3 linked regions of the Arabidopsis thaliana genome follow. The protein of the gene in region 2 interacts with the protein of the main gene of each other region in a pairwise test. Each region holds a gene or a part of one and is shown on either strand. Other genes may lie near its edges.

Region 1 (8,123 bases), 5.6 Mb from region 2:
ATCATTTAGCGATCAGAAAATCGCAGAAAATGTGTTTCTTGAGACCCAAGAAAGGGCTCTGTTTTTACCTCAACAGCAAACTTGGATTCACCAAAATAAACAGTCTCACCACTAGAGAGCAAAAAAAGATCATCAAAGAGAGCAAAAACTTCGCTACTAGGTTGATGAATCGATGAAACAACGGTTCTACCACCATCTCGAGCGATATTCCTTAGCGCTTGAATCACAAAGAAAGCAGAAGCACTGTCCAAACCACTAGTAGGTTCATCAAGAAACAAAATTTGCGGTCGCGTTAAGATCTCTAACGCAACGCTGACGCGTTTCCTCTCGCCGCCACTCACTCCTCTAGAATGCCAATTACCTATGACTCTGTCTGCACAATCTTGAAGACCAAGTTCAATGATTGTTCCTTCAACAATGTCGTTGACTTCTTCTTTGGTCAAATCACTTGATAGCCGTAGATGAGCTGAGTATGTTATTGTCTCCCTCACCGTTAGTGTTCCCATCAAAATGTCCTCTTGTGTTACATAAGCCTATTCATAGTAATAATTCCAATAAAAATTCTAAAATTCCCAAAAAAAAATCGAATTAAATTTTGATATTAGATTATACTTACGACGAGACCGTAGTCTAGTCTTGCCTTCTTTCCGTTCAATAGAAGATTACCGGTCATAATCACGTTTCTTGCGAGTCTACCTATATACATGGGATAATTCTGAACAATTATTTAAAATTATTTAAGATATGATTTATTTGTTTATCTTTTAACGAATAATGAGTGTGACTTAACAACTAGAATTAGCATAAGGTATAATAAGAATCCATAAATTAGATACGTAAATTATGTAGAACAAAATAATGAAATAGAACAAATATTTATGTACATAATCAAATAAATCTCACTCACACTAATACCAAAAAGAAAACGAACCTGCGAGAGAATCAAGAAGCGTGGACTTGCCGGATCCGGAAGGACCCATAATGGCCATAATCCGACCTGGTTCAGCATGACCGTTTAATCCATCGAGCAATCTTCGAGTCGGACCACCACTAAAGTTTGGTATAACCACCGTCAAATCTTCCCACGCCAAGTACGCCCCACGGCCAATCTCTGCCGGTGGCGGCGGACGTCGGCCATTGCTCGTACTCTCTAACTCCATTGTTTTTGTTTGATCTTGAAAAAGATCAAAACCTTACTTATTAGAGAGAGAGAGAGAAAGAGAGAGTTTTGTTTGTTCTTCGTCTAGGTTATTTTTATTATATTGGTTGGAGATGGAATTATAAAGATAGTGATTAATTTTTGTAGGCCTAAGGTTTTCTTTAGGTGAGACTTGAGAGCAACAATCAACAAACAACTAATTACATTTAATGGATGGCTTTAATATCATAACCATATATAGATACACGTCTATAGTATATAGTTTTTTTTATTTTCTTGCACATTAAATGTAAGAGAGTGAGAGTTGTGTGAATGAGGTCTAATATTTATACAATCGTCCATGTGTAGTAGTAACTAGTAAGCAACCACCTACTTATTGACATACTATTATACGTATGAAATATATTTTTTATGTCGGTTCTTGCCAACTAACAAGAAATTTCGTCCACACAGAAATCAAATGATATTTTTGTGAAATGAAATTTAACAGTGTGATTATTTACGATGAGATGTTTTCATTTAGTTCGAAATGAATAGAAACATCACAAATCAATTAAAGGATCCATATTTGGTTGTCTACTAATTCCAAGGGATTGATAGTGATACTTTGACAAATTTATCGTTTTGTTCACACATAGAATTATATAATTATCATTGTATTAGTTTTTGTAACTATAAGCAAGAGAAGTGATATTCGATAATTAATGAAGAAGATATATAAAATTAAGTTTGAAAAATCGTGTTTGGTTGAACATGTAAAATCAAGAGACTTGATAATTGATAAGTTTGAATGACATAAAGAGGTAGAGAACCCTCGCAACGAGTCTTCACAGGTGTTAAATGAAAAGGGAAAGGAATTAAATGTGTGGTAGTTGGAACCGATATAGTTTTTTTTTTGTATTATGCTTCATTATTTCTTTTTGGTCTATCCGTCCATTTATTATCTTCATGATTTTATGGTTATCTTTAGCTTTTTAGCTTTAGTATAGCGCTATGTCTAACCACATTTTTAAGCATTGTTTAGTATTTAACACAACCCTAAGTTATAGACTTCTTACTATTTATATCTAGTAGGTTTATTGGTTCTTTTTAAACGAGTAAACTGATACTAAACAAAAGTACCTAAGATTTCACAAAGTTTTGGTATAAAAAGAAAACAAAAAGAAACAAGATTTCCAGAAAAGAGATAGAAACCCAGATTCTAAATTCAACAGAATCTAAGGTATGGTCTTATAAGCCTTTGGCACCATCATTAACAAGAATACAAAACTGTTTTTTTTTTGTTGGAATCATGTAAAAGCATATCATTTTTTTTGTTGGTGACAACAAAAGCAGAACTTATATAACTGTTCCAACTGTTTCATATTTATACTTTTCAGCTGTAAGTTAGTATATGAGAGCCCTTAAAATAGATGGATACATAAACATAATGTGGGACTGGCTCAATGCACAAAGTATAGATGATTGATTCGTACAAATGAAATCATGCAACCTGTGAGTAGCAAGAAAGTACATGCTCTATCTCAAATCATCAAACCTTTGATGATTTCTTTTAACATATTTAGGATACGAATAGTTACGCCTATAAAAACAAACGATGTGAATATTGCCATTGATTGGAAAATTTCAGCCAAAATATTTAATAGTCATTTGATGATTTCTGTTAACATATTTAGGTTACCAATAGTTACGCCTAGAATAATAAACCAGTGTGAAATAATGCCATTGGTTGAAAATTCTTTGATTTTTTCTATATAATCATATTTGGTTTTCTAGTGTAATGGAAGGTCTTTGATTTTCAAATTCTGTCTGACCTAAATATGAATCAATAAGAGAATGAAAATTAAAACATTCTTCCTCATCCAATGTTTCTCTTCTTTTACCAATACAAAGCATTAAAACAGATCTCATGGTGTTTAAACGCAACAATCCCATGCAAATGCATAAAGAGATAAACCAATGCAAAAGCAGCCAAACCCTACAAAAACCCCAGAAAAAAATTTGTTCAACACTCAGCGTCTTGCATCAGTACCTTACAGATAAGAGAGGGAATCCCTAATACAGAGAGATATGGGGAGAACTCTCCACCAAATCATACAATCAGTAACGTCTTCTCGGACTTCTTGAACGTTGCGACCTCCCATACCTGTAAAACCCCAATGATCAATGGATGATGATTTAAAGAAAGGTATAACTACTTGACAAGTCACAAGTGATTTCGATTCATTAGCATAAAGACAGTAAAGTTTGGTAGGTGCTTAGTACAATATACTACCTTGTCAACTGTTAAAACTTCTAAGTCTATATCTTAATTGATACTTTTTGACACTCTTGACTTCATATCGGCACAAGATCAGACAAGTCGTAGCGGAACAGAAAAGAGATTAGGATACAAACCTCGAGTTCTTTCTCCTGTAAGATTCACCACCACTGGGACCGCTGCTGAAGGCCCAGTCAACGCTAACATTCTGTGTTAGAAGCTCAGCACCATTCATTGCTGAAATAGCGCTCTGTGCTTCTTCCTTCTTCTCATATTCTATCAAAGCATATCCCTTATCAAAAAAAACAAAAGCAAAGTGTTACTTCCACTTCCATGAGAACTCAAGCAAACTAAAGAAAAATAATATTTGATTCCTAAACTCGCATCTAGAAGACAGCTTATCTTATTCGACCCGTCATTTCTGACACTTTGAAGTAACTTAAACGAAGTGTCCTTAGGGAACAGCATTGCACTTTACAGAATATTACATCTCCCTCTTAAAAGCAATGTAACATTGCAAAGATAAATTTATCATTTTTGGCTCTCAATTTCAGATATTCAGTATTACATTGATTAACACAAAGCATGTCAAAGAGTAAAGTCAACATCTACGACAAAACAGTATTGCATTCATCTCTAAATTACATCATGACAACAATCCAACAAATCAAGCTTCACTATAACAAACCAAAAGGCAAAATGATATCAACATAACTAAGCAAAAAAATTAGCTTCACAATAACTAACCAAAAGGCATAATGACATCAAGAGCCACTAAGAAACAAAGGCAAAACTCCATACCTTGACATAACCACTACGGCGATCGAGATTGAGATTTAGATTCTTAATCTCCCCAAAATCACCAAAAGCATTGGTTATATCCTCCTCCTGTGTCTCCTCATGAACTCCAGAGACCAAGATAATCCATCCTTCAACGGCTACACATAAACACACACAACAAACAAATTCATCCAAAACAGTCCCAATTCTTCATTACCCTCAAAGAAACTATGTTCTATCTTCACAGACTCTAGAACCATTACATTTTTTATAATGGTTACAAACTAAATCTAAACCAATCTAATTTTTTTCAAAAAACTTCTAGGTCAAATTGAATCCCAAACACAAGGGGTTATGAGAAACCCTAGAACAAATTACTACCACAAATAAATCAACAACGCGAAGAATCAGTATGCCAACACTAAAACCTAACTAAAAACAGCGAAAGAGGAAGAGATTTAGTGAAATTACATCTCTGCGGACCAGGACGGCCATCTGAACCAAGTGATTCGAAATCGCGTGAGGAAAGACGACGCTGACGATCGGAATCTTTCTCCTCGCGAAACCCACGGCCTTTGGTCTTCTTTGCTGATTCGCCATTAGCTCCGGCAATAGCCGACTTAAGCCTCGGATGTCCCGCGCGTGGAGAAACATCAGCTCCGTCAATAGCTGTACCTTCTTCGTCCATAAGGTCATCCTCCTCTGGCTCGAAATCGACTGCTTCTGATTCTATGTTCGCCATGACTTCCGCCGCCGTAAGATTTCCGATAGATCTCTTCCCGTTTCGCCGACTGATTTTTTGTTTCCTTTGTTTTTGGGGACGGAGCTCTTTCTTCTATCAAGATATTTCTCTGCCAGTGTTGTTTATAGGAATATATTGGACCTTAAGTGGGCTTATTTTGGGCTTTTACGCTTGTATTTCTTTCTCACGCTAGTTTTTCCTTTTCCCTTTTAAACAGGCTTTGATTAAACTCCTCTCGTCAATGTTAGTGGGCTTATTTTGGGCTCTTACTTTTTTTATTTATTCTTTCACGCTTCAGAGTAAGCTAAGCCTTTGATTTTTTAGGTTTCTTACAAAACAGGCTTAAGCCTTTGATGAAAACTTCTCTTGTTAATGTTACATTATCTGAATTTCATATGTCGAGAGTGAATCATGGCATACCTTTTTAAGCATTCATGATGTCAAATTATTGTATCACTTCATAATTAGGATACTATCAATCATATTGTGGTATTTAACACTTTACAGTCGATACTGGTCCATCTCTTTGATGGTGATCATCATTGTTTTATCCGTTTGCATACAATCATTATAGTCGAATATTGCTTTCTAATTCCCACTCTAATCTCAAATAAATCTCGTCCAACATGTTCGACCAAATTCTAAGAAAGAAAACATAGAGAGATGCAAAGCATTTAAAGAAAACAAATCTTAGTTCGTCGCCAATAATTACTTACGTCATTTAGAGGAGGGGAGAGCATTAATTTGGAAAACATTTATTGTCTGGTTCTGTTGACTAAAGTAGTACAAAACTCTGGTCAATTTACGACAACTATTTAACAACACACGTGTCCTTAAAGAAGCTATATCGACCGTTGATATAATATCTAAAGATAATCTTAACGGGTAGGATTTGGAAATGAAGTAACCGAAGACCGTACACTCGTTACAGTGTTGAGGAAAAATTAATGTCATGCGCGAGTTTTGGTGTGACGGGGAAAAGAACAGCTGCCTGACAAAATTTTGTTTTATGGGATGGGATAGGGTAATTGTTGTCGATGAGCCCTATACTAAAAATAGTAGACTTCACAGTTCAAGTGACCGTTTGTCTTTAGCTGGCCCGGTCATGAGAGTTAAGGGCAAAAAATATTTTACGGGCAGGTCCTAATATTTATAGAGTATACTTTTTCTTTACGGGCAGGTCCTAAGATTTATATAATCTATACATCACAATGCTAGTTTTCACTTAGCTATGTTCAGGGATAAGCCTGGCCCTTATTCATTTGGTTTTGTTTTTTGATAGAGTTTTTGACCTCATTTTTCCCCTTTTACTTGCAGGTTGTAACGCCAAAGAGTTTGGGAGAAAAAAAAAATTAAATCCACCAAACAGTTGTAATTATCAATTTTGTTGGAACCAAGTGATTCCCATTACTATAGGTGAAGAAACTAAAATCTTTATTAGTATAGAGTATAGAAAGTGGCAGACCAAGAATTTCTTTTTTTTTTTGGGGTCAAATAATTTAGTTAACTAAAAAATTACTTTATATAAATTATTTTAACTAAATAATTTAATTATCTCCAATAATCTTTTACTGCAAATATAAATTGTTCTTCTAACAAATCAATCTAATAAACAAAAAAACAAAAACGAAAACAATGTATTGAAAAAGCTACTTTATCCATGAAAAAGGGAATACATAGTGTTGATACCTACTAAAATCTGTTACTACAATCTTTTTAAAATCTGTTAATGCTCTTAATTTGCCAAAATAATCAGGTCAATATATATGATTTCTTTCCATTCTAATCTCGCTCTTTACGAAACTTGAATATCCCTAAAAATCGATAACAGTTTCAAAGAACAATAAAAACAAAAAAGGTTCGATTTTTAAAAAAAATTGTTTTTTTTGCTAAATGCTTTTTACAAAGACAAAATCATACAAAATTCTAAAAGAAACATACATTTATGATTTAACGCAAACCCAAAAAGAGCCTTCACCTTTTTTCTCTTCGTCTTCTTCACCATCTTGTGGGGAAAAACAAAACTTCTCCGGCCATGGATCCTGGCGACCCAACTTCAATAATCTTTTCAAAGATCAGAACTTTCGAACTTGAGAACGCTTCCAGAGTCATTGACTATTTTCTCTTGCAAGACATGGAACAAAGAGATTTGATTCGAATTGCTTTTGGTCCTGACTCTCTCATACAGACTTTCTGTCAGAAAGCTAAAGTCGATTTAGGTTTTTCCTCGAACGGTTTCTCGAGACCCATCAATATCCATGGCCAGTCATTGTCCTCGTCTTCTCCCAGAAATGGGTTCTTAGAGTTCTCGAGAAACCCTAGTAACCCTTTGTCTTCTTCGTTAACTTTGAACACACTCAGAGATAATAAGCCTAACTTCAATTCTAGTCCTTTTCGTGAAAGTTCATCACTTTTTGCCTCTTCTTCCGGCGATGAGCAGCAGCAACAACAATTCAGTAACAACTTTCTGTTCACAAACGACGAGGACCCATTTGCCAATTCTCACAAGAGGAGTTTCTCTGCTAACGATGCTTGTTTTGAGTCAGAGGAACCATGGTTTGGAGGAGGAAATGGTTGTCATCAATTTCCACAAGGCGGTTTAGTTGATGGTTTTGGTTCCTCTGGTGTCTTTGGATCGCCGAGTGAGATGGATTACATGCTTGAGGGGATGATGAGGATGAAGTTAGCTCAGCAAAAGAGCATGGTTGCTGCTCAGTTTATGGCGGCTTGTGGCTCTCCAATGTTGCATAGGTAAGTTTGGGATTTTTTGTTTTCTTTCTCTGTGTATGTTCTGTTAGGAAAGACTTAAACTTTACACAACAAGAGTAGTAGCATTTTAGCTTGAGGCAAGTTTTTTTAGATGGTTTTGGTTTGTTCTCTTGGTTTTGTTGTATCAAGAAGTTTTGAGCTCTGAGGCTTGGTTTTCCTCATGGTGATTGTTTCTTTGCAGACACGGATCAGGACATTTTGGAGAAGAATGTGGTAACTATTTTAGTCAAGGAAGGCATGAAAGAGAGGATTCAGTCTCTAAACAGATTTACTTGACATTTCCATCTGAAAGCTCCTTCACTGATGAAGACGTCTCAACCTATTTCAGGTAAATCATGTGTTGTGATATAATCGGGTTATAGATGTAAGGAAGGACTCTGTTTGGTGTACATTTGGATTAGGGAGTCATGTTT
Region 2 (9,217 bases):
TAGGTTATGATAATAAATGTCAGTATGTGTGTTTGGCAGGTGGGTTTGTTTTTAAATGCTCACTAAGAAACAAGAAATGGTGAATTTTCATGTCCCCAAATATTTATTACAAGACAAATAATTCAATGTCTAATGTTTTGACCAGAGACATAGTTCTTTTTAGTTAAGTCTATGAATCCAAATCTTTGAGTATTGTACACTCTTTTGGACTAGTTCTAGATATGTTGATACTAATGGTTTAGTTGAAATCAATATATTTTTTGTAGGTTCATATATTGGAGTAAACATAGGGACTGATCTTTCTGATATGCCACATCCAACACAAGTTGTTGCTCTACTAAAAGCTCAAGAAATCCGACATATTCGATTATACAACGCTGATCCCGGGTTGTTGATTGCTCTAGCAAACACTGGTATCAAAGTTATAATCTCCATTCCTAATGACCAGCTTCTTGGTATAGGTCAATCCAATTCAACCGCAGCGAATTGGGTTAAACGCAATGTCATTGCACATTACCCTGCAACGATGATAACCGCGGTTTCTGTTGGCTCTGAGGTGCTAACCAGTCTCTCTAATGCAGCACCTGTTCTAGTCAGTGCTATAAAGAACGTTCATGCTGCTTTACTCTCGGCGAATCTTGACAAGTTGATAAAAGTTTCTACTCCTTTATCAACTTCCTTGATTCTTGATCCTTTTCCTCCATCGCAAGCGTTCTTTAACCGTTCTTTGAATGCGGTTATAGTTCCGTTACTAAGCTTCTTGCAGTCAACAAACTCATACCTGATGGTGAATGTGTATCCATACATTGACTATATGCAATCAAACGGTGTGATTCCGTTAGACTACGCGTTGTTCAAACCGATACCTCCAAACAAAGAAGCTGTTGATGCAAACACTCTTGTTCGTTACTCAAACGCTTTTGATGCAATGGTTGATGCAACGTACTTCGCTATGGCGTTCCTCAACTTCACAAACATTCCGGTTTTAGTAACCGAATCAGGCTGGCCTTCGAAAGGAGAAACCAATGAGCCTGATGCTACACTTGACAACGCCAACACTTACAACAGTAATCTCATTAGACATGTTCTTAACAAGACCGGAACTCCGAAACGCCCGGGGATCGCTGTGAGTACTTATATTTACGAGCTTTACAATGAAGATACAAAAGCAGGTTTATCAGAGAAGAATTGGGGGTTGTTTAATGCAAATGGTGAACCGGTTTACGTACTTCGGTTGACTAACTCGGGCTCGGTTCTAGCTAACGATACAACGAACCAGACTTATTGTACTGCAAGAGAAGGTGCTGATACAAAGATGCTTCAAGCTGCTCTTGATTGGGCTTGTGGTCCTGGAAAGATTGATTGTTCGCCTATTAAGCAAGGAGAGACTTGTTATGAACCGGATAATGTCGTCGCGCATGCTAACTACGCGTTTGATACTTATTATCATCAGACTGGGAATAATCCTGATGCTTGCAACTTCAATGGTGTTGCTAGTATCACTACCACAGATCCAAGTAAGAAACATAAAAAGCCTTTTTTGATTATACATTGCATTGTGTAATACTGTTTTTTACCGTTAATTAGTAAAAAAGCTAATTTTTTCTTGCTTGGTTGTTTCAATGCAGGTCATGGTACATGTGTGTTTGCTGGGAGGTAAATTATTCTGTTTCCTTATACTCTTTTGTTGGTAGATATGTTCATTCTTGGTTTCGATTAGGAAATGTATTGATTTGGTTTTTCGGATTAAAAAGAATGACTTCATGTTAATTGTGTTAAGTTTTTTTTAGTATCAGATCAGTTAGTCCAAATGAAACACTCATATTGTATAAATTTTTAATGGTTGTTTATTTTACCTCGATTGCAGCCGCGGTAATGGTAGAAACGGGACGTCTGTGAACATAACAGCGCCATCGGCAAACTCAACAACTTCTTCTGGAATACGGAGTGATTTGTATTACAGTCGGGGTATATGGAGTATCTTGACAGTAATGATTTTGAACGTTGCTAATATCTTGTGAGAAATCTTTGGGACATAACAATGTTAGTTTCTGTTCCGAGAAGTTTTTTTAACTTTCTTAGGTGGGATTGGAGTTAGAATTGAGGCCGATTGTGTTGGATTCGATTTTGTACACAACAAAAACCAAGATAACATTCTAATGGTCTTTTTTATCCCATTGTTCGTTTTTGATCCGTTACTCAGAAAGTGAAGTTTAGGGTTTCTGTAGATAAAATTCACAATTGACTAAAAGATTTTTTCGTATATTATTAGATTCAACCAACTAACAATAACAGCTTTCTCATTTACAGCTAAATCTCTTTTAACTTCAATAACCAAAAGTGACTGTGAAAGTGTGAAACAAGAAAAGAGGAAAATAAAAGCAGAGTAGAGCCATCCTAAACGTAATTAAACCAAACCAGACTTTGCCACATATTTAGTCAGAGACTAAGAATAAAGAACACAAAAGTACATGACAAGATGCGAAGTCTTGCTTCTGTTTAAGAGATGTTCATAGCTTCAGCATGATAGCTTTCGAGATCTTTGTCGAGATCCGCAGCAGACTTCTCCACTGGCTTCTTTCCACCTCGCCCACCGCTTTTATTCCCTCTGCCACCACCATTACCCCGGCCTCTACCACGGAACCCGCCTCGACCAGCTGTCACACCACCTTGTTGGTTTTGTTGGCTGTCATAAATAAACAATATGATAAGATAAGATGATAAAACCAATGCATGATCAGCCCACATGAATGACAACGAGATCAGACTCTTGAACACTTACAGTGGAAGGCGTCTCCCAGAAGGACCTGAACCTCTTCCTCTTCCTACTCTCCCACCTCTAACTCCTTGTCTGCAATAATCAGTGATACATTCACTTCAGCACATAAACTCAAAACTATTCTCTTGTAAAAAAAAAACAGACCGGCAACATACCCAATGAAGACACTCCTCTTCATCCTTCCATTCAATCCAGTCACATTAACACGAGCTGCGACAGGAGCAGATTCAGTATTTCCACCCAGAATCTCCAGTTTCATAGGCCTTCCATCCAAAAGTACATTATTGTATTTCCTCATAGCTTGAATTGCATCACTTCTTCTCATATACACAACTTCAGCCGATCCCTGTATGACACAGAACATCAGATATCAAATATTACAGAAACACGGTAATGAACAGATAAACCATAGCAAAAAGAAAACAGAACTTACACTTGGACGCCCATTTTTGTCATAGTGAATTGCATATCTTTTCAGCTCTCCAATTTCAGCATAGAGTTCCTAGATTCCATATGATAGTACAAACCAATTTCAGAAAACTCCACAGAACCAAAACAACAGAAGCACTGGAACATAGATGTCAGGCTATACCCTTATATCTTCATTTGTCACTCCCTGATCAAGGTTGGTAATATAAACTGTGGTTCCGACTTCCACTCCTGATACCCCAACAGCTCTAAGGGTTTCTTCATACAAATCATTCTGATTCTGCCATGGCAAGCTCCTCTTCCTGCGGGCAAGCTGATCCAGTAGAACATATCAAGTCAGCTAAAAGGGTCTGTAGAATCTTGAAGCCACATTAATCAACAAATTTCTTGAAAGAGGAGAAAACACCCATTTGGCTGAAAGTACTAAAGCAAAGAGCTCCAGGAAGAAGTAGTCAAGAACCATCCAAGGAGATACCAAATGAAACGTAGGGAAACAAGTAAATTTGACTAACTTCATATGAATCATACTGGTGTTATCAGTCAGTCTCTGAAGCCAAAAACGAAAACTGAGACTGCCGTCACACTCCGAAGAAATTCCAGATGTACCATCGTGAACTTCATGCATAGTGCAAATACCCCCACTTTGATAACCCATCATAAATCCTATTTACTGTTAAAATTTCTGAAATTCCCCCTAAAACCACACACATTTTCAGGCTTTATCCCCCTGTAGATAACCCTATGTGGACTACTTAGCTTAAAGGAGCTCCTCAATAAACCTATAGCGAGTGACAATATCAACCGAAAACTTCTGCACATCTATTCATGCCTCTTGAAGTTCCCAGATTTTAACCATAAAAACCACTAATTGCAGGAAAGAAGCTTTTCTAAGAAGATGTTAGAAGATTCTTGTAATCTGAATCATCATCAGAAGTAACGGTATATGCATGTATGATTCTTCTCCAAGGACAAAAGAGCATTAAAAGATCATCCATCTTAAGTTTTAGCATGCTTCGGTATTTGGTGGCACAGAGTTCCAATCAAGATTTCGAGCTTGCCTTGTTTATGGAGAAGGATGATGATGGCCGAGTATTAACAGCAAGAGGACCTCTACGAACAGGTCCACCTCCTCTTCCACCTCCTACAACACCATTAGGTCCACCACGTCCACGTCCACTCTTACGGGAAACTCCTTTACCTCCAGACCTTGCAGCTGCAGACCTTTCACTCTTACTCTTCTTCACAATTTCATCAAGAGTCATATTCAAAGCGTCTGACATCTTCAATCCAATAAAATCAAACTAAACCTGAACAAATTGGAGTTTAGAAAATTACAATTAGCTACCACCAACACAATGACAACACACGCCATCAAAATCGAAGGAGATCAAGCAATAATTATAAAATTCAAGCTCAAATACACAAATCAAGGACGGTGAATCATATCCACTGCTCGAATTCAAAGATCTGATTATCGGAACATATGAACCAATAGATTCCTAAAACCTAGAAAACAATTCTCATAAGCGATATCGAGAAAACACGAATCACTGCAAAATTTTAGACGGAAACTCGTAATCGCATCTCAGAAACATAGATCAAAGCCCTAGATCTAGATTCGTAATCGAAAAAGTGAAATCAATCGGAAACATTATACGCGAAACCAGATGAATCGAGAATCGAAACGTTACCAGATTAGGAGAAAAGACAGATCGGAGAAGATCGAGAGATCTGTGTTAGGGTTTTGAGGAAGCTTTTGGGGATTTTTTTTTTCTCTTGAGGATTTGATGAACGAAGGGGGGGAAATAGTTTGTGATTGAGATTACTGGTTAATGGAGAGGAGAAGGTATCTTTTTTTATATAGGACTAGGTCAGCAGGGTAATTATGTAACTTTTCTCGATTTAGGGGGGGCGTTTTGCGTCTCTTATCAAAAGTAGACAATTACCAAAAAACCGTAAGGGAAGATTGCCAGCTATGCGTTTCCGCGTTTAGTTAAAAATAGTTTATAAGATAAGGATTATACTTTTCGAAGATATCAAAAATGCCCCAGTTGTTTTTCTAATTGATATGTTGATACTACAATTTTTTTTTTTTTTTTTTATTGTGTATATGTAAGAATCTATCAATCTATCATTCCTACGGAACCTTTTTGGTACTCCTGAAAAACAAATCTTGATCAAACCTATATTTGCATATGCAGTTTAAGATTATGTCCAGTGGTGAGAACCTTCTATAGACTCTCACTATTTTTTTGTTTTATTTTTTTTTGGAAAGATTTATTAATTTTGTTATCTTTCCATGGTAGGTTCTCCAAGTAGGGTTCTTTAAAAGAAAGTGTATATGATCCTTTGTGGCTCAAGATCAGTTCCAATTTTATTATGTGATCCTTGTGCCTTGTAATAGATGTCTAAAGATGAGTGTTAAAGAGAAAAACAAACCAAAAGACATGACTCACTACAGAGCATAAATTACAGTATATGCATATATTTCAAATCTTACCAATTTGGTAGGTCTTGTCTTTCCTTTTTTGACAGACAATCCTTCCAACTCAGCTTCAAAGCTATCAATCTACGACTCTAGTTCACTCACTCACATATCAAAAGCACGAAAATAAGTAATGAATCAGCTACAGTACTGATAGGAGATGCTCCAAGAATTCTCAATTTTACAAAAGAAACAGTCTGAAAGTGAGTTGGCCTTTAAATTTTTTGCTTTTAAAAAAAAAATCTTGAAAATCACTATTTACATAAATCGTTTTTGATAAGTGACTACTAGTAAGATAGAATGTGATGATTTCATTATTAACACATACGTTTGATTGTTTTTTTTTGTTTTTTTTTGCTTGCTAAGAATGAAATATGAATTTCCAAAGTAATGAATGATGTTGGTATTGCATGGTGGATTTATTTGGTTGCATCATGCATGGATTTTATTTCCTTAAGGTATATAGAAAATACGCTTGGCCAAATGAGTGAAAAAGAGATATCTTCTCTTGCTGGTCGTCCTGTTTTTTAATCTAAACTAGTGACTTTCAAAAATAAAATATTAGAACTGTTTGGGAAAATGAATTGCCATTGTTTATTTCATCGCCAACGTTTAAGTTGTTAGTTTTTGAAATGTTTGTACTTAGTTGTTAAGACGACGTCAAATTATTTCCTAATCTATTTCTATGTATAGAGGTAAATTCGTATTTTTAATTTTCTAAAACTAATGATATTTTCTTACATCATTTTGTAACTCATAAATTTTTTAATGTTAAGGTTGTATGATTCAATTTTTCTTCAAGTTTGGAAGGTAAAACATATTTAACTTCACATATTGATTCTCAAAAAGGATAACGTCATTAAAACTAAAGCCTTCTTGATCTTGTCGAATAAGCTAGAGATTGAAGGAAAACGAAACACTTTTATTATTATTAACCACGACTCATGAATCGTGCGTGGTCAATCACAAACTAAAACATAGGAAAAACATCGAATAGAAAACGAAATCCTCAAAATATAACTTAAAGCTCATCCCTCTTGAGTGCGGATGGACGAACACCTTGAGCGAGGAAATCTTTGTAATACTTGGCTGATTCTTTCTCATAACGTGTGAGGTTATTTTTGAAATCGACGTAATAGAGTCCGAATCTGTTTTTGTAACCATCTTGCCATTCGAAGTTATCCAACAATGACCATACAAAGTATCCCGTAACTCTCACCTTATCGATGCTGCACAAACACAATTATGTTCTTAATTAGACCATTCAATAGAATCGTTAGTCAATCTATCAAATAATAAAAGGCTTACCAAATAGCCTCGTTCATAGCCAGAAGATGCCTCTGAAGATAATATTTCCTGTTATGATCAGCAGTACCAACGTCAACCGAATCTGTGGTCCCAAGTTTATCTCCATATCCTAGAAAAAACAACATTATAATGATCAGTATATTACTCTTAAGAGTTAAGATTAAATCAACACACAAATATAACAATAAATCTCGAGTTACCATTTTCCATTATCATAATCTCCGGGTTTGCGTATTTGTCCTTGATGTACTTTAAAAGCTTTCTAAATCCTTTAGCGTAGACGGGCAATGCAGCAGTAAGAGGCTGAAATAAAGCAATGGTGAAAATGTTATGTCGTAGACAAAAATTAACAATCACAAACTAGGACTAGTTTAATCAAACGCTTACCATGCTACCAATGGCGCTGTGATCTACATTCTTAGCTGAAAAATAAAAAGTGAAAATGTATGCATATCAATTAGTATTATAAAACCTTTTATCTTTAGTTTCTTGGTTTGGTTTCATGTACGGAAAACAAAAAAAAACTTACGTTCCCAGGAAACAAGAGAATCTTGCTTCCAACTTGGTTTAGACGGATCTGGCTTCTCATTATAATTTGAAAATGTCGAAGTATAGTAGTTAAGCCCTACGAAATCGGTCGAATCTTTCAATTTTGCTTTTTGTGCAGCAGTAAATTGAGGCAATCTGTAACCAAGAAGGTCTTTCATGATTTGTGGATAATCTCCCGAAGTAGTTGGCTCCAGATGCCTACACAAAATTAATAACTACATTAATTTTTATGAAATTATATACGAGAAACCATTTTCTAACATAATATATACTTACCATCCCAACATAAAGTCAAGTACACGGCTAACAGTTGGAGCGTCATTTGAATCTTTAAGATCATGTGGTTCGAACCAAGCCGGACTATGTGCGATTCCGATTTTCCCACCTTTAACCTATGTCCATAAACACAACACAAAACAACCTATTTTAAGATTCGAAACCTGATAATTAATTGTGATTTATATCTAATGTGACCTGATAATTAATTATGATTTATATCTAATGTAAACTACCTTTTGGCGGAAAACTTCAACAGCTTCTGCGTGAGCGTTGAGGAGATTGTGACTGACTAGATAAGCCTCTTTACCAGATTGTCCCTCTCGGTCTTCGCAACCTGGAACGTAGCGAGAACAACGTCCTGGTGCTTTCTTTCCTAAGTCGTAACCTGCGTGAGCAAAGACCCATGGCTCGTTGAAAGTGATCCAGTTTTTCACTTTTCCACCGTATTCAGTGAAAACATAATCTGCATATTCTCGAAAATCTTTCCTGTATTTTTGCAAAAAAAAAAGATACCAAATTAATAATTTCCATATAAACTTAACTAAATGTATTTTGTTTAATTTACAAAAACATACACAATGTTTTGGCTTAAGAAACCGCCATATTCGTCTTCCAAATCTTGTGGAGTGTCCCAATGGAAAACAGTCACAAACGGAACTATACCTATTTATGACGTAAAATAGAAAGAAATGTTAAATAAGGATACTATATTACTTGTATTTTTGTGAACTAGGTATTTTATATGTATATAACCATTTTTAAGGAGTTCATCGATGAGCTCGTGGTAGAATTGCACACCAGCTTGACTCACTCCCTTCTCCTTTCTCCCATCTAATAAAGCATTACAGTTTGTTTCATTAGTTATTGATACTTCAACATTCACATATACATCATCTAAATTCATTGGTTATTAGTATTATATAACAATCACATAAATCTAATTTCACCAAATTCGATTAAAACAAAATCAAACTAGAGATCTGCAGACATATACTCACGAGGAAATATTCTTGACCATGCGATTGAGAGTCTGAATGCATCTGTGTTTAGATTCTTCATTAGCTGAATATCTTCCTACAAACATTTTTAAGACAAGGCAAAATTTCAATAACATCTCGAGAATATAAGTTATGTTTGTCTTAAATTTATATTAATATATACCTTATAACGATGGAAGAAATCAACGGCCACATCGGCGTGGTCGCCACTACATCTCTCTGTAATTTGAAAGTAATTAAGAAAATTAATGGCTATGTATTGATATTAATTAGTTAAATTTAATTTAATATTTAAACATACTGTATTGAGAATGTAGATTATACGAGTACACTCACCTGGATTTCTTCTACAGTAGATATCCCATAGAGCCGGTCCACGACAAGTTTCAT
Region 3 (7,421 bases), about 24 Mb from region 2:
ATTTTCAATTTGAACACTGCAAGGTCAACATCAGTCATTTATTTATTTCACTCCAAGGTCACTTACACAGTGACACTTTCTGAGATCTATATAAACACTTACAAAAATGAGATTATGGCTTCGCAAAAGTTCCATCAGGTATGATGAGTATATTAACCGCAGTTACTTAAAAAGAACGATGTAAGATAAATACCTCTCTTTGATGGATGCAGACATTGCCATGAAAGCCTGTTCTACGTTTGTAGCATCTTTTGCACTAGTCTCCATAAAAGGAATCCCGATTTCATCGGCAAAAGCCTATGAATGTTTCGAAGTAATCAGGAAAGTAATAATAGCCTTAGAGTTTGATGATTTTCAAAACTTGAGAAGAAAGAATTGGTTCAAGTGGCATATATATACCTTGGCAGTTTCATAAGGAATGGCTCTGTTTTCAGTAAGATCAGACTTGTTTCCAACAAGGAGTTTGTTGACATTGTCACTAGCATAACGATCAATTTCACTCAACCATTGCTTGACATTATTGAAGCTTTCTTCATCTGTGACATCGTAGACAATCTACCAGGTGCAAGAACTAAATTAGGACATAAACTTAAAGGAGTCAACAGAAAGAACCTAGATAAGATGTTGCTTACAATAATTCCATGTGCCCCACGGTAGTAACTGCTAGTAATAGTCCTGAACCGTTCTTGACCAGCAGTGTCCCACTGAAAATAAGTGAAGAGGGAAAAATATGAATTAAGGGAAAGAGACGTAGAGCTATTAACTTGACAAGTGTGAAAATAGTTACATACAATTTGGAGCTTAATTGTTTTGCCATCTTGTTCCACAGTCCTAATTTTCTGAACAAGAGATATATAAGAAAAAAAAAAAGGTCAGATCAAAGCATCGTCATCAGTAGCAAGAAGAAAAAAAAGAAAACATCAACTTACAAAATCGACTCCAATAGTGCTAATGTAACTTTCTACATAAGAATCATCCTGCAGCAGAACAACAAACATGAACAAATGTAGAAAGCTACAGTGTTTGATCTCTGAGAAAGAAAAAGACAAAAAAAAAAACTTACAGAGAATCTCAAAAGAAGACAAGACTTGCCTACGCCAGAATCCCCGATAAGCAGGAGCTTGAAAAGATAGTCGCTGCAAATCCCAAAACGCTAATTAAACCCTAGGAACCACCCGGAGAATCAAATATATAACAGAGGTAATTTCGACCCAAGTATGTGTCGATGGAGAAAGGAACTTACTACTCAGGATTCATGGTTTTCGATCTGTGGGAGGAAGAGCAGCGAGCGATACAGAGCCAGAGATCTCTCTCTCTCTTTTCTGATTTTCTCTCGCGATTTACAAGAGGAGGAGATTCAGTGTTTGGGCCTTGAATAATAATATGAGCGAAGGCCCAATAATGCAAAAGATTAAAATTCATTCTTCTTTCACAAGTTTAGGGTTCCTACGATCCACTCAGCAACGAAAATGGATCAAGCCCGACAGAGTCCAGAGGAGCGGAGGCCCAATAACGCCAAGATTAAAATTCATTCTTCTTTCACAAGTTTAGGGTTGTAAATTGGCCCTTCCTACGATCCACTCAGCAATTGGAGATTGTTTTGTGGTTCCCAGATGTTGGATCTATACTAGTCTTCTTGATTCATTTTTCCAATTGTTGCTTGCTTTTTGATTGACATCTATATTTTAAGTTGGGAGATATACTCTAACTCTTTCTGGAGGAGGAGGTTAAAACAAGGTAAGGCTTGGACTCGGGTCCCATCTTCCAGTAGAAGCTCTCTCTCCAGTTGATGCCTTGTCGATTTCAGCACCGTCTGCCAAACAAACACAAATTTACTTACACTCAGTCTCTGAAGACTGAGTTGATCTCTTAAAGTCAAAGCTATATGGAGGAGAAAGGCTACGTTAAAATCCATGTAAAAAAAAAAAAAAAAAAATCCATGTAGGAATCCCGCATTGTGAGCCACTTATCATCCATCACCTTGAACGCAATGCAATATCGAATATCAAATGCGGACTCGTTTTCTAACAATAAATTATACACCATCCAATTGTCAATATATATGGCTTCGCGTTTATCTCTCTTAACCCAAAGCTGCTGTAACTAACTAACTAACCAGCTACTAATGTTTCCCCGACCATCTTAAAAGGTAACTAACTAACTAGCTGATGCTAGTTGGTGCCTGAGCAGGGGTGAGATCAAAGGAATAACGAGAGTGGTGATCCCTTTTCTGTGCACAAACACAAGCCAGTCCCCGCCCTAACCATGCACCTGATCCTGCCACAAGATGAAATATGCATGTGACTCTCTGCAACACACTACAACAAGGTAAAGGAGACTAGTGCGTGCTTAACCTGAGGATGAATGGCAGGTGCGTCCTCTGTCTAGGCTGTGAGTAATCCGCCTGACACTGACAAATGAATCCTCCATTGTTCTTCCCGATTCATAAAAAGCTACTCTTGATATCTTCAATGCAAAACCAGATTTACGGGTTTTGGAGGAGCAGTTTGAATGGTCCGAGGGCGTTTTTTTAGAATGGAAACAATCCTAATTATCGACTAATCCAGCTAGTTTTTGATACTTTGTATTTTAGATAGATCACATTCCTTAGTTTAAATTGGCTTGAGGGAAAAGAAACATGCATCATATGTAGATGTACATTAGGGAGAGTGAATGATTTGTGATAAGAAAACAGCAAGTATATGGTTTTTAGAAGATAGGTTGTGGTTCATGAAAGGTTCTTCACATGGGATGTTGACACAAAAAAGGACCAAAAGTTGAGGTAGAACATCTTACATACCCACTTTCACCCAAATCCAACAAAAAAAAAAAACAGAGAACCAGAGACATAAAAACAACCAAACTTCAGTCACAAAGTCCTCATGTTCCCAACAAATTCATCGCGTCTTGACATGTCACAAACTGATTTTCTTCTCTAGATAGGCTTGATTTTGAAGTGCAGAGAGATGAGCGAAAAAACAAGACATTTCAAGTCCTGCAACCATGAAAGTTTCAAAAGGAATATGTTAGAGCACAAATAAATACAGAAACTAAAAAAAAAAAAACTACAGAACCATGTAAGGGATGAGTGTTAACAGCCAAACCCTAAATGTTAAAGTTTGAGACAGTGAATACGTTAAAAGGCAGAGTCCTAAATATATAATCGAGTCCAATAGAGTTAAGGGATTAGGTAAAAGAAAAGATGGTAAGGCAAGGGGTGGAAGAAAAAGAGAGGAGACCTGAACAAGATAGTAGAAGATGCGAAGTCCTTCAGGATCATTACTGCTCTGGCAATCAACAAGAGATCCAATCTTAGATGTAGCGAATGAGATATGCTCATTACCCAAGACGATCTCGAGCTCTTGCTTTCCAACACGGTCAGGTTCCGGCCAATTGTTATCGTCTTCTTTCAGAATCTACCCGCAGACAAATAATCACATGTCAGGTTGTACAAAATCATCCATTATTCCTAGATAATAGCATTAACAACGAAGAGGGTTCTAAACCTACAACACTAGTCAGGAAAGATGCCCTAGATCGACAAAAATCGAAGCAAAATCACTAAAACCCTAATTGGCTATTATAGCGTCGATTGACCAAAACGCGGACAATTAACAAGAGAGAAGCAAATCGGAAGAGAGAGAGAAAAAGGACCTCGCTCTCGGAGACGATACGCTTGCATTCCTTGAGCACGGCGGGGGTGAGAAATACCTCCTTGCGGATAATAGTATCGTTCTTGTAGTTAGAGTTATTGGCGTAACGGAGCTTACCGTCCTCTCTAAACTCGAACTCCAGGAACTCGTGTCCAAATTTCCCTTTGTGACCGACATAGTATCTCAGGTAGAACTCCGTCGCTTCTTCCGCGGCCATGCCTTCTCTTTTTTTCTTTCTTTCTCGAGATCGAGATTACCTCTCCGTGTCCTTTGCCCTTCTTTAAGTCCGTCCCCGCAAAAGAAAAAAGGTAATGGGCTTACATATTGGGCCAGAACCCATTTGTAACCCGAAAAGTTAAGGCCCAGTTTTAGTTTTTCTGTTTCCATCGAAATTGTGTGTGTATCCGGGCTGCCTGATTTCCGATTCCCCGATACAGAGACGATGCCGACGGATTCGAAAATGGCCAAGTTTCTTCAATCCTATGGTAATTTCTTCGTTTCGTCTTCTTAGGCGGCCAGATGATCTCTTTTTCTTTTTTTATATAACTGAAACTTTCGATTGGTGGGAGCAGGATATGATTTGATTCTGGGATCTGTAGCTGCAATCTATGTGGTCATGGCACCATATACTAAGGTGGAAGAGAGCTTCAACGTTCAGGTAGGTTTTCAAAGTATTTAGAGTCACACTCTTTCTCCGTTTTACTGAAACCGTTTCACTCGTCTCAAGTCAATGCACGACATTCTTTACCATCGCCATCATTTGGACTCTGTGAGTGACCTCTCTTTTTACTTCTTCTCTGAAGCTTTACTCTTTTTTTTTTTATCTCTAGAGTGATGTCAATTTTTACCGACTTCTGTCTTTTTATTTTTTTCCTATCAGTATGATCATTTGGAGTTCCCCGGTGTTGTCCCTCGAACTTTTATTGGTAAGGAGGGCTGTTGAATTTCGCTCTCTGTTTTTGCATCACCTGTTGATGGTTTTTTTTTTATCATTATACATTAGTGGATGGTTTTTTTTTTATTCCACTCTGATTTGTTCTTGCAGGAGCCTTCATAGTCTCTGTTTTTGCATCACCTGTTGTATCAATTATCAGCTGCCTTGGCTTCCCCAAGGTTTATAGCCTTGTTGCAGGTTTCTCTTCTGTTTCTCCCTCCCTATATAATTCCTTAATGAATCGCTAACTATTTTCCCCTAAACACAGACAAAACCAATTCACATCATAGTTTTATCATTTTGTCTTGCAGCTCGTTTGGTGTTGGGCTGCATCATATTGTCCACACTAAGATTTTTCCGGATTCAGGTATGAAGTTCCTTTAGTGCTTCTTTCCATACCACACTTCTGACTCCCCTATCTGATTCTTTGTCCCTTCCCATGTCCTTGGAATTGGGATCTCTTACATGCATCTTGTTGGCTGTTTTTCTCCTATATACTGCCACTGACCAAAATCTACTGGTTTGTCAGATAAAAAAAAAGTTTGGAAATCAAGTGGAAACTTTCTTTGTACTTTTCACCAGTCTTCAGTTTCATTTTCTTTTCTACTGCACTCGTCCTCTTCCTAATATTCTAGCTTTGGGATTAGGTAATTACTTCTATTCATCTTACTCTACTAGTAGTGGTCCTTCAGATGTCCTAGCAATCTTTCCCATGACCCATCTAGCGTAGGCCTTACTAGGTTCTGCTTATGTTTTTAAATTTTGATTTTGCAGTCAATCTGGCATATGGTAATTGGTTAAAGGGAAATTTTTATCCAGCTTTGAGTTTCCTGGTATGTATTATCTTTGTGGTGACATATTTTCTCGATTATAGATTTAGAAAATCGGTCATGCTATCCAGAACTATGGGGTTTGCTGACATCTCTGTTATCCGATAATCAGATTTTTGCCACTGTAATCTTCAGATGCGATACGATGTTACTGCTTGGGCCTATTGGTCTTGAACTTTTATTGGTGAGCTGGTGACGAATATTAAATAGTTTGGGTTCTCAACTTCTGTATATGTATAATTGGCCGTATACTTTACCGTTCCATCTGATGCGGGTGCTTTATGTTTGTCAATGACAGACCAAATCGATCTCCTTCTGGAAAGCACTTAAGTATTGTGTTGGAACCGCTCTGTTGGCCGTAGGTTGGTTAAAATTCCTCTTCTTTCTGTGATCTATTTTGCTTTTTCCCTTCAGACACTAATTCCCGAGTCTATTTTCTGTGGTCATGGAATAATCCTTAGCACAGGTCTTACCATTTTCGTTGACTCTATCATGTGGAAGAAGTTTGTCTGGCCAGAATTTGAAGTTTTCTGGTTTAACTCCATTCTAAACCGGAGTTCTGATTGGGGTGTATCCTTCAAAAAAATTGTTTCCTCAATTGATTTATTTTTCATATGATGCATAATGTTCTAGCATTTTTCTACTGCCTGATTAAAGGATTGCGTTCTGTACAATGATAACCGTTTGGAATTTCCAATTCAAAGTTTAATATTGTGGCACTTGCATTTGTATGAAATGATGTGTTGTCCTTGAAAATTAGTTGCTAAACTAGACACATTCCATACATTGGTACTTCACCTCAGCACTCCCACGGTCTTTACTTGTAGCTTATCCACTTTCATTGGTAAATACCAGACTTCCTAACATCTGTGATAGTGTTTGTCTTGTTCCTTTCTAGTTAGGATCGCTAATTGTATCTCTACAAATTTTCTTATTTGGTTTCTTTTTATGCAGCTTGGTACTTTAGTTGACAGAAGGGTTCCATTCTTTATAGTTCCAGTTTTATCGTTCGTTATACTATACTCTAAACTTCCACACAAGGTATTCAGATGGATTACTTATCTCAGTAGCCATCAACGTTTCTTAACCATTTTCTGACATCGGCTTACCTATCTTTCTTGATTTATGAAGGAACTCCGATTTATCATTAGTTCAGTGCCAATGTTCAACTTGTCTGCTGCAGTTGCTGCTAGCAGAATGTATGAGTTCTATCAGATGTTTGCTAGCTAAGCTTTCAATCATAGCTAGGACGTTCTTTGATTCTGTATCTTAAGAGCTCTTTGGAGTTTGGATACACATAATTTCTGTATGCCACTTTAAATTACTACCAATGCGGGCCGACCTCTTAATATAATCCGATTTTGTTGTACAGCTACAATAATAGGAAGAAAACGATTTGGAAACTGGTGAATATGGTTATGCTAGCGTTTTTTGCAATCAGGTAGAAATAGTAAACAATTATCTTTGCTATGTAAGAGAAGGAAAGAGATTTGCTAGTCTACTAAACCTGGTTCTATAGTGCAGGGTGCACGGTTGTAACATTCATGGCATCTTACTACAATTATCCTAGCGGCTATGCTTTAAAGCGCTTGCATCAGATTGGTGAGTGACTTATTCTGTTATTGGGGTTTGTTATTAATGCAGCAGCATTGACTTGGCTATCAAACAAGAAACATCTGCTGGTCAGCGTTTGTTTTGTGGTGTCTATCTACCTCTGGTTGATAATTTGCCTACAATATGATTAATTGACTTGGTGCCTTCCATGGTTCTCAGGCCATCCTGCAAATGTAGCTGGGGAAGAGTGGGTTCACATAGACACTTTTGGTGCGATGAATGGAATATCTCGCTTTTGTGAAGATGATTTTCCGTGGAGGTATGTTAGCTGTACTACCTCGTTTTAGGGTTGGTAAAAGTAAAGGAAATATCAATGTACATGGAAAAAAGTTGCCACTCGGAAGCACCCATTTGTGCGAGATGAGGCATCTGTTTGTTTTTCATGTTCAT

What was found.
Region 1: the proteins of AT1G66260 (region 2) and Y14 interact in a two-hybrid assay, tested with the Arabidopsis thaliana proteins (one study listed by BioGRID).
Region 3: the proteins of AT1G66260 (region 2) and MAGO interact in a two-hybrid assay, tested with the Arabidopsis thaliana proteins (one study listed by BioGRID).

The regions. Positions count from the first base shown.
Region 1 is NC_003070.9:19,099,813-19,107,935, forward strand, and holds Y14 (RNA-binding (RRM/RBD/RNP motifs) family protein), read right to left. Parts: upstream 5,122-8,123; 5' UTR 4,942-5,121; coding exon 4,671-4,941; intron 4,358-4,670; coding exon 4,221-4,357; intron 3,712-4,220; coding exon 3,557-3,711; intron 3,306-3,556; coding exon 3,260-3,305; 3' UTR 2,979-3,259; downstream 1-2,978. Other genes in the region: ABCG12 (ABC-2 type transporter family protein), read right to left, coding at 69-533, 617-696, 932-1,160; AT1G51520 (RNA-binding (RRM/RBD/RNP motifs) family protein), read left to right, coding at 6,977-7,692, 7,892-8,038. UniProt on the Arabidopsis thaliana protein: Core component of the splicing-dependent multiprotein exon junction complex (EJC) deposited at splice junctions on mRNAs.
Region 2 is NC_003070.9:24,693,396-24,702,612, forward strand, and holds AT1G66260 (RNA-binding (RRM/RBD/RNP motifs) family protein), read right to left. Parts: upstream 5,520-9,217; 5' UTR 5,454-5,519; intron 5,090-5,453; exon of another isoform or gene 4,982-5,089; 5' UTR 4,900-4,981; intron 4,516-4,899; 5' UTR 4,489-4,515; coding exon 4,267-4,488; intron 3,522-4,266; coding exon 3,372-3,521; intron 3,282-3,371; coding exon 3,213-3,281; intron 3,126-3,212; coding exon 2,935-3,125; intron 2,852-2,934; coding exon 2,783-2,851; intron 2,687-2,782; coding exon 2,500-2,686; 3' UTR 2,251-2,499; downstream 1-2,250. Other genes in the region: AT1G66250 (O-Glycosyl hydrolases family 17 protein), read left to right, coding at 267-1,517, 1,629-1,656, 1,868-2,021; BGLU21 (Glycosyl hydrolase superfamily protein), read right to left, coding at 6,715-6,922, 7,002-7,110, 7,202-7,304, 7,389-7,423, 7,531-7,748, 7,827-7,942, 8,063-8,315, 8,405-8,492 and 4 more. UniProt on the Arabidopsis thaliana protein: Export adapter involved in nuclear export of spliced and unspliced mRNA.
Region 3 is NC_003070.9:400,532-407,952, forward strand, and holds MAGO (mago nashi family protein), read right to left. Parts: upstream 3,926-7,421; 5' UTR 3,871-3,925; coding exon 3,655-3,870; intron 3,417-3,654; coding exon 3,240-3,416; intron 2,996-3,239; coding exon 2,936-2,995; 3' UTR 2,569-2,935; downstream 1-2,568. Other genes in the region: RA-5 (RAS 5), read right to left, coding at 194-297, 400-555, 633-704, 792-839, 930-977, 1,064-1,136, 1,244-1,257; ALG12 (homolog of asparagine-linked glycosylation 12), read left to right, coding at 4,096-4,138, 4,226-4,311, 4,381-4,422, 4,534-4,579, 4,699-4,785, 4,899-4,954, 5,117-5,234, 5,362-5,420 and 9 more. UniProt on the Arabidopsis thaliana protein: Core component of the splicing-dependent multiprotein exon junction complex (EJC) deposited at splice junctions on mRNAs.